Mus musculus: one gene and its partners. The protein of the gene in region 1 binds, or shares a complex with, the protein of each later gene. Links are inferred from orthologs where the notes say so. Each region holds a gene or a part of one and is shown in the gene's direction. Other genes may lie near its edges. The genes, in order: Stk3, Rassf5 and Sav1.

What was found.
Region 2: the proteins of Stk3 (region 1) and Rassf5 are in contact, whole or in part, in a crystal structure (PDB 4LGD), measured with the Homo sapiens proteins. The link is inferred for Mus musculus from reciprocal best matches to the Homo sapiens genes STK3 and RASSF5. Residues at the interface, in NP_006272.2 of Homo sapiens: Phe437, Phe439, Leu440, Leu445, Leu448, Gln449, Arg451, Leu452, Leu455, Asp456, Met458, Met459, Glu462, Ile463, Leu466, Arg467, Tyr470, Lys473, Arg474, Pro476, Ile477, Leu478, Ala480, Met481, Lys484, Gln488; in NP_872604.1 of Homo sapiens: Trp369, Asp370, Ala371, Phe372, Ile374, Leu377, Gln378, Phe380, Leu381, Leu384, Glu385, Glu387, Glu388, Lys391, Ile392, Val395, Gln396, Lys398, Tyr399, Phe402, Arg403, Lys405, Leu406, Ala409, Leu410, Ser413.
Region 3: the proteins of Stk3 (region 1) and Sav1 are in contact, whole or in part, in a crystal structure (PDB 6AO5), measured with the Homo sapiens proteins. The link is inferred for Mus musculus from reciprocal best matches to the Homo sapiens genes STK3 and SAV1. Residues at the interface, in NP_006272.2 of Homo sapiens: Trp429, Lys430, Val431, Pro432, Gln433, Gly435, Phe437, Phe439, Leu440, Lys441, Asn442, Leu443, Ser444, Leu445, Leu448, Gln449, Arg451, Leu452, Leu455, Asp456, Met458, Met459, Glu462, Ile463, Leu466, Arg467, Arg469, Tyr470, Ala472, Lys473; in NP_068590.1 of Homo sapiens: Tyr311, Ala312, Arg313, Ala314, Pro315, Asp319, Trp324, Glu325, Phe327, Gln328, Leu329, Leu332, Asp333, Gln336, Leu339, Lys340, Leu342, Phe343, Glu346, Leu347, Ile350, Val351, Met353, Tyr354, Ala356, Tyr357, Arg358, Ala360, Leu361, Leu362.

Annotation. Positions count from the first base shown.
Region 1 is NC_000081.6:34,874,875-34,877,436, reverse strand, and holds the end of Stk3 (serine/threonine-protein kinase 3), read left to right. Parts: intron 1-616; coding exon 617-775; 3' UTR 776-1,938; downstream 1,939-2,562. UniProt on the Homo sapiens protein: Stress-activated, pro-apoptotic kinase which, following caspase-cleavage, enters the nucleus and induces chromatin condensation followed by internucleosomal DNA fragmentation.
Region 2 is NC_000067.6:131,175,867-131,179,293, reverse strand, and holds the end of Rassf5 (ras association domain-containing protein 5), read left to right. Parts: exon of another isoform or gene 1-616; coding exon 617-769; 3' UTR 770-2,884; downstream 2,885-3,427. UniProt on the Homo sapiens protein: Potential tumor suppressor. Seems to be involved in lymphocyte adhesion by linking RAP1A activation upon T-cell receptor or chemokine stimulation to integrin activation.
Region 3 is NC_000078.6:69,967,258-69,970,160, reverse strand, and holds part of Sav1 (protein salvador homolog 1), read left to right. Parts: exon of another isoform or gene 1-872; intron 873-947; coding exon 948-1,091; intron 1,092-1,701; exon of another isoform or gene 1,702-1,787; intron 1,788-2,903. UniProt on the Homo sapiens protein: Regulator of STK3/MST2 and STK4/MST1 in the Hippo signaling pathway which plays a pivotal role in organ size control and tumor suppression by restricting proliferation and promoting apoptosis.

The DNA of each region.
Region 1 (2,562 bases):
TAGTTTATATAGATAGAGAACTCATATGTACAAAGTAAATAAATAAATCATTTTAAAAATTTAATTTAATTTTCTGTTTAAGAGGTGAAATGTTAGGTATTTGTATTGAGTTTGGCCTAGTTCTTGGTCTGTTGGCATTGGGTTTTTGCTCATGGTAGAGTTGGCAAAGCACAGGGAGTAGAAAGCTGTCTGTGGAGTATCACCTGCAGAGCACCACCTGCAATGTATCACCTGCAGAGTGCCACCTGCAGTGCACCACCTGCAATGTATCACCTGCAGAGTACCACCTGCAGTGCACCACCCACTGCGCATCACTCAGGCTGCTTTTGACAGTAGCACATTTTTCTCTGGGCCTTTTCAAACAGGTTTCTTCATCTTACTTTTTTTCATCATATAGTCTTCTCTGACAGTGCAGGCGTTGATCCCTTTGCTGAATTCTTTGAGGTTCCTGTAGTGTGGTGTGGCTCCTTCAGAAAAGGAATTCTTGCTTTAATTGTTGACATGCTTTAAAGATCATGTAAAGAATTTTCTGAAATATTTATTCTAAAACTCATTAGGCTTCTCTGTATTTTGAATGATTATACACTATTAATTTCTTTTTTTTTCCTACATCTAGTTAAAAAATCTAAGTTTAGAAGAACTACAGATGCGGCTAAAAGCACTAGACCCCATGATGGAACGAGAAATAGAAGAACTGCATCAAAGATACAGTGCAAAAAGACAACCTATCCTGGATGCCATGGATGCGAAGAAGAGGAGGCAGCAGAATTTCTGACCAGATTCCCTCTGTCTCAGGATGACCAGAAACCAAGCAACCACAAGAATTGAAGGAATTCTACTTTTTAATCCCTAAAATGTATATTCTACAATTTTTTAAAACTCAAAAATGATGGTACACACCTAGATAAATTTCCCAAAAGCAAACTTTACAGTTGTCTCCACTCTGATGTCGTTTTGAAAGGATGAGAACAACAAACGTGCGCACTTCTCTCTCTGCCTGCTATTCCACCTGCAAGAGAACTAATCTAAAATGAAAGCTGTATGTGGAGACTAGAAATCCAAAGCTGTTGCTTAGTCAATCATACAGCACTGGAGGGCTTTGTGTTCCAATGTCCTTTATTCCTATGGAGAAGCCTATTTATTGATCCCCCTCCCACCCCCCAGGTAGACTTATTTATTTATGCAGTTTCACTTTCTTGGGGTTTTTTTGTTTTTTTTAAGACCAGATCAGGATAGTTTTGGTGAATGTCCAGACACATTGCGGATTATAACACACAACCAAATTGTACACTAAGCAGGGAGCTCTGAGTGTACTCCTTCAACTCCAATAGACACAAAGTCATGGCTGTAATGTTCAAATGGACCAGACATTTTATACTGAAGACTTAATACCATTTCTACCTTTTGAAGTGTTAATTCCTGATTTTGATATTGGTAAAAATAAAACTATATATACATAGGTCAAAAAGAGTACAGTGTAAAACCAAAGAAATCAATGAACTCTTGCACGAAAAAGTGTGGGAAATATTTTTAAAGACATGAAACTGAGGGAAAAAAATGTAATTGTTAATGTTTCTTTTATTGGTCTGCAATAACTCATCAGGTTTATCCTATGGGAATATGCTTCTGTCACAGGACTTTTTGTTGATTTCATTTATTTCCTGGGAATTGGTAAGCATCATGTATCTGACAATAAAACAGTAAAAACAAAAACAAAAACTTTTATACTAAAAACTGTATCCTTAGGGCCTAAAAAAAAAAAAATTAAAGTATTAGAAAAAGACTCATTTCTGCAGAGCATTAGCATTTGTGTAATTGACCTGGGACCAGTCATTTCCTGCACTACACATGTCCTTTTTGACTGTGTGTGTGTGTTCTTTTATGTGTTAATTACTATGTGTGCCTCACAAAGACAAATAAATTCCATTGTGCCACCCAGAACTTGGCGTTGTTGTTATTGTTTTGTTGTTTGTTGTTGATAAGCTCATGGCCTGGATTCTGCCCTGAACAAGGAAGGCTTGTTTGGCAGGGCAAGCTATCATTAGTGGTGCCACTGAGACTTCAGGTTCTTCTGTTCATGCCCCGGGGCCACCAAGAGATACCCTGGTCCTTGCCACAGTGGAAGGAGCCCTGACAAGTGTCAAACAGAAGCAGCTGCACTGGGCATAATAGGTGTTCCAGGGTCAGGAGAGCGTGTCTTCCTTTGAGCTAATCCACAGAAGACAAATTAGCTATGGAAAGTGTCTACCATTTTAAAATAGTACTGTGCCCACAGTCATGCCTTGAAGTGATGTTGGTTCAGTTCTGTTGGATCCTTATGAAAAGCATATTGTATAATTATGTATAAATTATAAGACTGAAAATAAGATGACACGACACTAATGACTTGCTTCGTGCATCCCAATGTGTATACTATGTTAGACATTTCCCAGGATCCCACTCACCATTATCAGAGTCCACTTACAAACTATGAGACATGCTCATCAGCTCACACACTACCCAGGTGTTCTTCCTTAATAGTCTTTCTTGTCACCAGCCTAACACCTGGTGGAACCCAAGCAA
Region 2 (3,427 bases), on another chromosome or scaffold:
AGCTGCTGCTGCTCTTCTATAAGCACAGGTGTATCCTCAGCTGCGGCTGCTCTTCTATAAGCACAGGTGTATCCTCAGCTGCGGCTGCTCTTCTATAAGCACAGGTGTATCCTCAGCTGCTGCTGCTCTTCTATAAGCACAGGTGTATCCTCAGCTGCAGCTGCTCTTCTATAAGCACAGGTGTATCCTCAGCTGCGGCTGCTCTTCTATAAGCACAGGTGTATCCTCAGCTGCTGCTGCTCTTCTATAAGCACAGGTGTATCCTCAGCTGCGGCTGCTCTTCTATAAGCACAGGTGTATCCTCAGCTGCAGCTGCTCTTCTATAAGCATAGGTGTATCCTCAGCTGCTGCTGCTCTTCTATAAGCACAGGTGTATCCTCAGTTGCAGCTGCTCTTCTATAAGCACAGGTGTATAGGCTGGGAACTCCAGGAGATTCCGGGACATGACCATTTGTGGCTGATGTGACCATTGTGTACGGTACACAAATGTCATTCGTGATACCCGCCCCTTCAGCTGAAAAGTGTACTTGGCTGGCTCACTGTGGAGCAACAGCAGAGCCCTGAGACATGTCAACTTCTAACCATTTTCACTTGTTTTCTCCTCCTCCTCTCATAGTGGGATGCCTTTTCCATTCCTGAACTCCAGAACTTTTTAACTATCCTGGAAAAAGAGGAGCAGGACAAGATCCATCAACTGCAAAAGAAGTACAACAAATTCCGTCAGAAACTGGAAGAGGCATTACGAGAGTCCCAAGGGAAGCCGGGGTAACCAGCCGACTTCCTGTCCTCTCAGTGCCCTCCAATTTATTTTATTGTTAATTATTTTGCAACAAAGAGTTACTGTTAAGACACCTCTGGTGGTTCCACCAGTGCCTGCCCAGCAGTTAACAGATGTGGCACAAAGTCTCTTCCACGCAGTGTCTATGCAGGGTTCGATTCCTGCTAACCCACCACACCATGGCTCTGGAGAGCTTCCGCCTGGGATCAGAACTCCTGTGGAATGACCAGTGTTTCCCTGCTCAGTCTGCTGGCCTCTCAGAAACCAAATAGTTGCCTCTCTGGTCACCAAACTCCAATCAATCACCAGCCGGCAAAAGGAAAGAAAGGTTTCAGAGCCTGTGTGTTCTTTCTCTGGATTTACTCTTCAGTTCCTCTTTTGGTTTGTTTGGTTGGTTTTTTTTGGCCACGTATAGTATATTTAAGGATCAAATGTGGCATATTCATTCTAGCTAAGTCCTTGAAAGCAGGAAAATGCTCATGAAAGGACTGTCCTTGCCCCAAGGTGCCTCTTCTTCTCTAGTACTAGACACTCAGGGTCAGCCTGAGATTTCAAGAGGCTACAGCCTGACCAGGCCGTCTCTTATTACCCAGCAGGCTGTGTGCATGCAAACCCAAAGACATATATGCACATCTGTGTGGTATTTCAGCATGTCTCTGTCCAATGTTTGATATGTTAACATTTGAATTTAATGCTGTCCTCCTTATGGGTTTCTACCAAAGAGAAACCAGCCACTTATCAATTTTAGTTTCTTGCTGAGCTGCCAGAAAGTATTACAGAGAAGCACATCCAAGCTGTCTGTGGCCTACGCCTGCAGGGGGTGGGGGGCCTGAATCTCCTTGGCCTTCAGTTCCACCTCCACCTCTGGCTTTAGGGTCTCCAGCTGTTGCCTGAGTAGTAGCTTTGATTACAGTGGTAAAGTCCTCCAACTTGGAGTCCTTTCTGGTGGGAAGCATGGTCTGCTCGCAGCACAGCACTGAGCAGACCCGTGGGCCTGACTTCCCTGGTGACTTCAGTGCCTTTTTGTTTGCAGAGAAAAGAGTGGGGCACTTTGCTTGAAGCTCTCTGCTGGCTTGCCCCTGGCAGGAAGTGGACAATGGTGCTATAGAGCCAAGGACACAGCCTCAGAGCACAGGGTGATTGATGATCAGCCTCTTTCCCATCAAGCTTCCCGGTCAGGCTTTGACTTTGAAGATGCGAGGTTACTAGACTGCATTGACAGCATCAGATTATGACTCCAACTCTTGAGTAGTTCAGACTTAAAACCAATCAGCCAGAGTAGCCAGGACTGCAAAGACACTCAATACAGATGGAGAAAAACTTGTCCCTTTAAAAGAGGGCCAGTGTTTCAATTGAGCCTCCAGAGGAGACCACTTTCATGTTGTGCTTGCCTTTCCATACCCTTTCCTCGGGTTGTTTTAAGCCCAAGCTTCTCCGTGTAGCCTAAAAAGTTCCCTACCAGCCCAGGCTGAAGCCACACTGCTCCCGTCCCAGAAGAACGCCAAATCCTTGTCATTCAAACTGTGCATCGTTTGCAGAGCTGCAAAAAGCAACATGAGCTAGCGACTCTGAGGTTGTGCACGCCATCAGCCCCTTGGCTGCCTGAGGTCTCATGCCCAGCCTTACACCTCTCTCCCTTAAGAAGCCCCCGTCCTGCTGTGTACTACAGGGGCACGTGGAAAGTCATTCCCTTCATCCTGCATGTCTGTAGCGTTAGGAGAAGGCATGGCTCCTGCTGCAAACACTGTGAATGCTGCTGAGAACGTCCCCCCATGGATGGCTTTTTATTTTTGACAAGAAAAAAAAATTCATGTATTATATATATATGTATATACACATAGAGGCATATAGCTATATATACAGAAAGGCGTTTATTCAGAAAATGATGGTAAGATTCAGACTTTAAAGCACAGTTAGACCCAGGACCTGTACTGAGGGTTGAGCCTCTGGAAAGCATGGAGTTCCTGACGTCTCAGAGGAGTCTAACTGCTGGTAGTGCCTTCTATGGTTGTATTATTGCTCTGTATGTGTTCTTTTCAGGATATTTTCTTTCTAAATGTCTTTCTATGTTTTTTAATGAGTAATAAAAGCTTACTGTAAAAACAAGTCACGATGGAATCGTCCTTGCTGAACGTCAACATCTTCTGGAAAGTGGGCTGGAGAGAGGAAGACTGAGGCAACTGCAGGTACATTTCTAGACAGAGCCAAGCTTTCTTCTCCAGTAAGCTAGAGAATGAAGGCTACCATTCAAACGCTTTTGAGAAAATTGTCCACACAGTAGAGGGTACTGCTTCTGGCTGCCTCTTCTCCATCTCTGCGGTGCTGGACGGGGAGGGGACTTACAGCTTTCTAGATACAGAGGTAAGCAGCACTTGTCCTTGGAATTATCTACAATGATGATGTGAGTGTGGGTCACTGATGACTTCAACTGCAGAGGGCTGGACTGGTCCGAAAGCAGCCTGCATTTTGGCCCCGCTGATTTCCAGCACGGAAATCTTTTAAATTCAAGAAACAGCCACATAAAGTTAACTAGGGAAATCACCACCTACCTTCCAGTGCTGCTCATGTATCACGCATGCATGGGCTCTCCAACTTACTCAGTTCTGCCTCTCTTCACCAGGCATCCTTAAAATTAGTCAATCACAGGGC
Region 3 (2,903 bases), on another chromosome or scaffold:
AATTGTAACCTTGTTATCAACACATCCCACTTAAGTGGGTCAGACAGGACTGCATACTGAGGGAGAAGTGCTGAGATCAGGGGAACACAGAGAGCAACAAAGGCAGAGGTGGGGTTTGGGGGGACCTTTGAGCCAAAGGACTGGACACCACAGGACTGAGGAATAAGCAAGGGAGAGGGGGTTCCAAAGTGGGACTCAGGCCCAGGGCTTGAGGCAGGCCAGAGTGGGGGACACCCAGTCCATCTTACCTACTCCACCGTTACTTGGGTGTTTACCACTAGTAGCATATCAGCTTCCAAAAGAAGATGATGTATACTTCCACACAGTCTAGTTTCAAACAAAAAAATCTAGACCTGTAGCATGGAAAGTTCTGTTAAAGTGAAAGATGGTCAGTTTGGCCAGAAAGCACATAGATAGAAGATTCTTTTTTTTTTTTATTAGAAATCAAGCTAAGTAGGGAAGGGTTCCTTCCAAACAACCGTGGAGGTTTAATAAAGAAAACCGTAACACTGCAAAGCATGCTTGAGACGAGACCCTGTGCACCTCCAAACCCAACATTACTTCATGAACTTGTCCTGCTGGTCAGCCAGAATCTTGGCAGAGGACTTGGTGTCATAGAAGAGCTCGATGGTCTCTTCCACATGCTCCTTCTCAGTGCTTGTCCCTCCAGTTGATCTTTGCCAACAGGTTGGCTGGGGTCAGCAGCTGCACTGAATATGTCGGAGTGGTCTTGGTGCCAATCTCCCCAAGGTGGCTCAGTGCCTCCTCACTGATGTTGATGCCTTCTGTCTGGGCTTGGATCTCAGTGATCTGCTTCATCTCCTGTGGTGTATACAGCATGGTCCTGATGATCATCACCCGGTCCAGCTAAGCTGTATGGTCATCATAATTACTGGCCTAGGTAAAGGGCTTCTGTTTTTTAATAAATGTCAATTCTTTGTTCTCAGTGTACCTCGGTATGATCAGCCTCCACCCATCACGTATCAGCCACAACAAACTGAAAGAAATCAGTCTCTCCTGGTCCCTGCAAATCCCTACCATACTGCAGAAATTCCTGACTGGCTTCAGGTTTATGCCCGAGCCCCTGTGAAGTAAGTGAGCACACGGCACGAGTATCTTTGGGGTCTCTAACCAGCTTAAGTACCATGCATAGTCAGTATGGATTAGGTGGTGGCAGCACATCTTTAATCCCAGCTCTGGCAGGGTGGAGGGGATGGGGGTGGGGATAGGACCCAGATGGGGATGACAACATACACCAGAGGCAGGCAGCCCTGTGAGCTAGAGGCCAGCCAGGGCTACAGAGAGAACCCCACCCCACCCCCCACCCCCCACTCCCCACCCCCAAAAAGTATTGTGGTTTTCTTACACTATTGGGCTTCTATGTGACATTTAAGAAAGGATATCAGAGGTTATAAATTTTGATTCTTTGATTAGAAGTAAAAATTCTTCAAAGATGTTTGAATCCTAATTACTTTGTGTACAAACCTCTGGTAATGGATACATAAGAATACCAAATATGACATTTAATTTTTGTTTTCTTTTTTATATGACATTAACATGTAACATGATATAGTACTTACAACCAAGGTACCCAGTTAAGAGCTTGGTACTGTGGTGACACACAGCAGAACACTCTGAGATTAAGTTCTTCGATAGGAATTACTAGTGAATTTCAGAGAAATGGTGAGTAAATGAACCGACCTAATGACAGCTGTGCTGGAGACACTGGAGGCGGTCACATTGTCACTCCTTGATGCAGCTCCAGCTCTTGTCCATGAGGAGTGGTGCTGCCAAGAAAAGAGCCTATCAGGTTTCTGCAAGATTAGTCCTCAGTCCTCAAGTAACAGAATAAAAGCGGGGGTGGGGTGAGCTGCTTGCTTGCAGCTTTGCCACGGTGCTGGTGTTCCTGGGACACACACCCAAGATGATGGAACTGTGTGTGGCACTGTGCAGCCTGGGCAGCTTGCAGGAACTGCTCAGTATACTTTGTTTTATTTTTGTATTTTTTTGAGCCGTATATGTTTTTATATAGACTTTGGAATAAAATGGCAAATGAGTTACCAAAGTAGCCATTAGATAGGACAGAAGTGTTATTATAAACAAATTCACTAGACATTGCAACTTAAAGCTTCCTTTTATCTCTACCCTGCAGTGATTTGAGAAATGACCTCAACATCACATAGGTACATAACTTACTGTATTTACATTCCCATGGTAATGGACAGTGACCCTAAAAAACTGTCACTCTAAAGCTCCTTGGTCCATACACCTCTGCCTTCCTGAACTGTTAGTCACTAAACATTTTTACAGGAGATAATTAGGGTTTTCATCTATAAACAAGAAAACTAAGTTAGACTGCTGTCTCTTGATCTCTCCCCTTTCAAAGTGTAAGTTACTACCTTGGTTTTATACTTCCAACTTACTTTAAGCACTGAAGGAGGACTAGAGTCCTTCCAAGGCCCACATGAGAATAAGCAACATGATGTCACATTGTGAAGTTTTCTTCAGTTTCTCTCATTTTGAAAGTTTATTCTTTCTTTGATTCTTGAATTTATTTTATTGTTAACTATGTGTGTGTGTTTGTGTACACACATGTGTGGTGTAGCTTGAGTCCAAATGAAAGTATTGATTTCCTGCAGCTGGAGGTCTAGGGGGATGGGAGCTACTTAATGAGGGGTTGGGAACTGAACTCCAGTCCTTTGCAAGAACTTCCGAGCCATGCCTCCAAACCTGTCTTCTTAGTATTTATTTCTTGTTACTCATCCTCAGGAATACTTGGCTCCCAAATGATTCATCTTCTGTCTCAGTTGTTGTAGTTGAATAGTGTTCCTCTGTCACCTGTCAGTCTGCCAGCACTGACGCCACTCACTAGTGACTGCATGCTTTTCTGTGTGACCACTTGT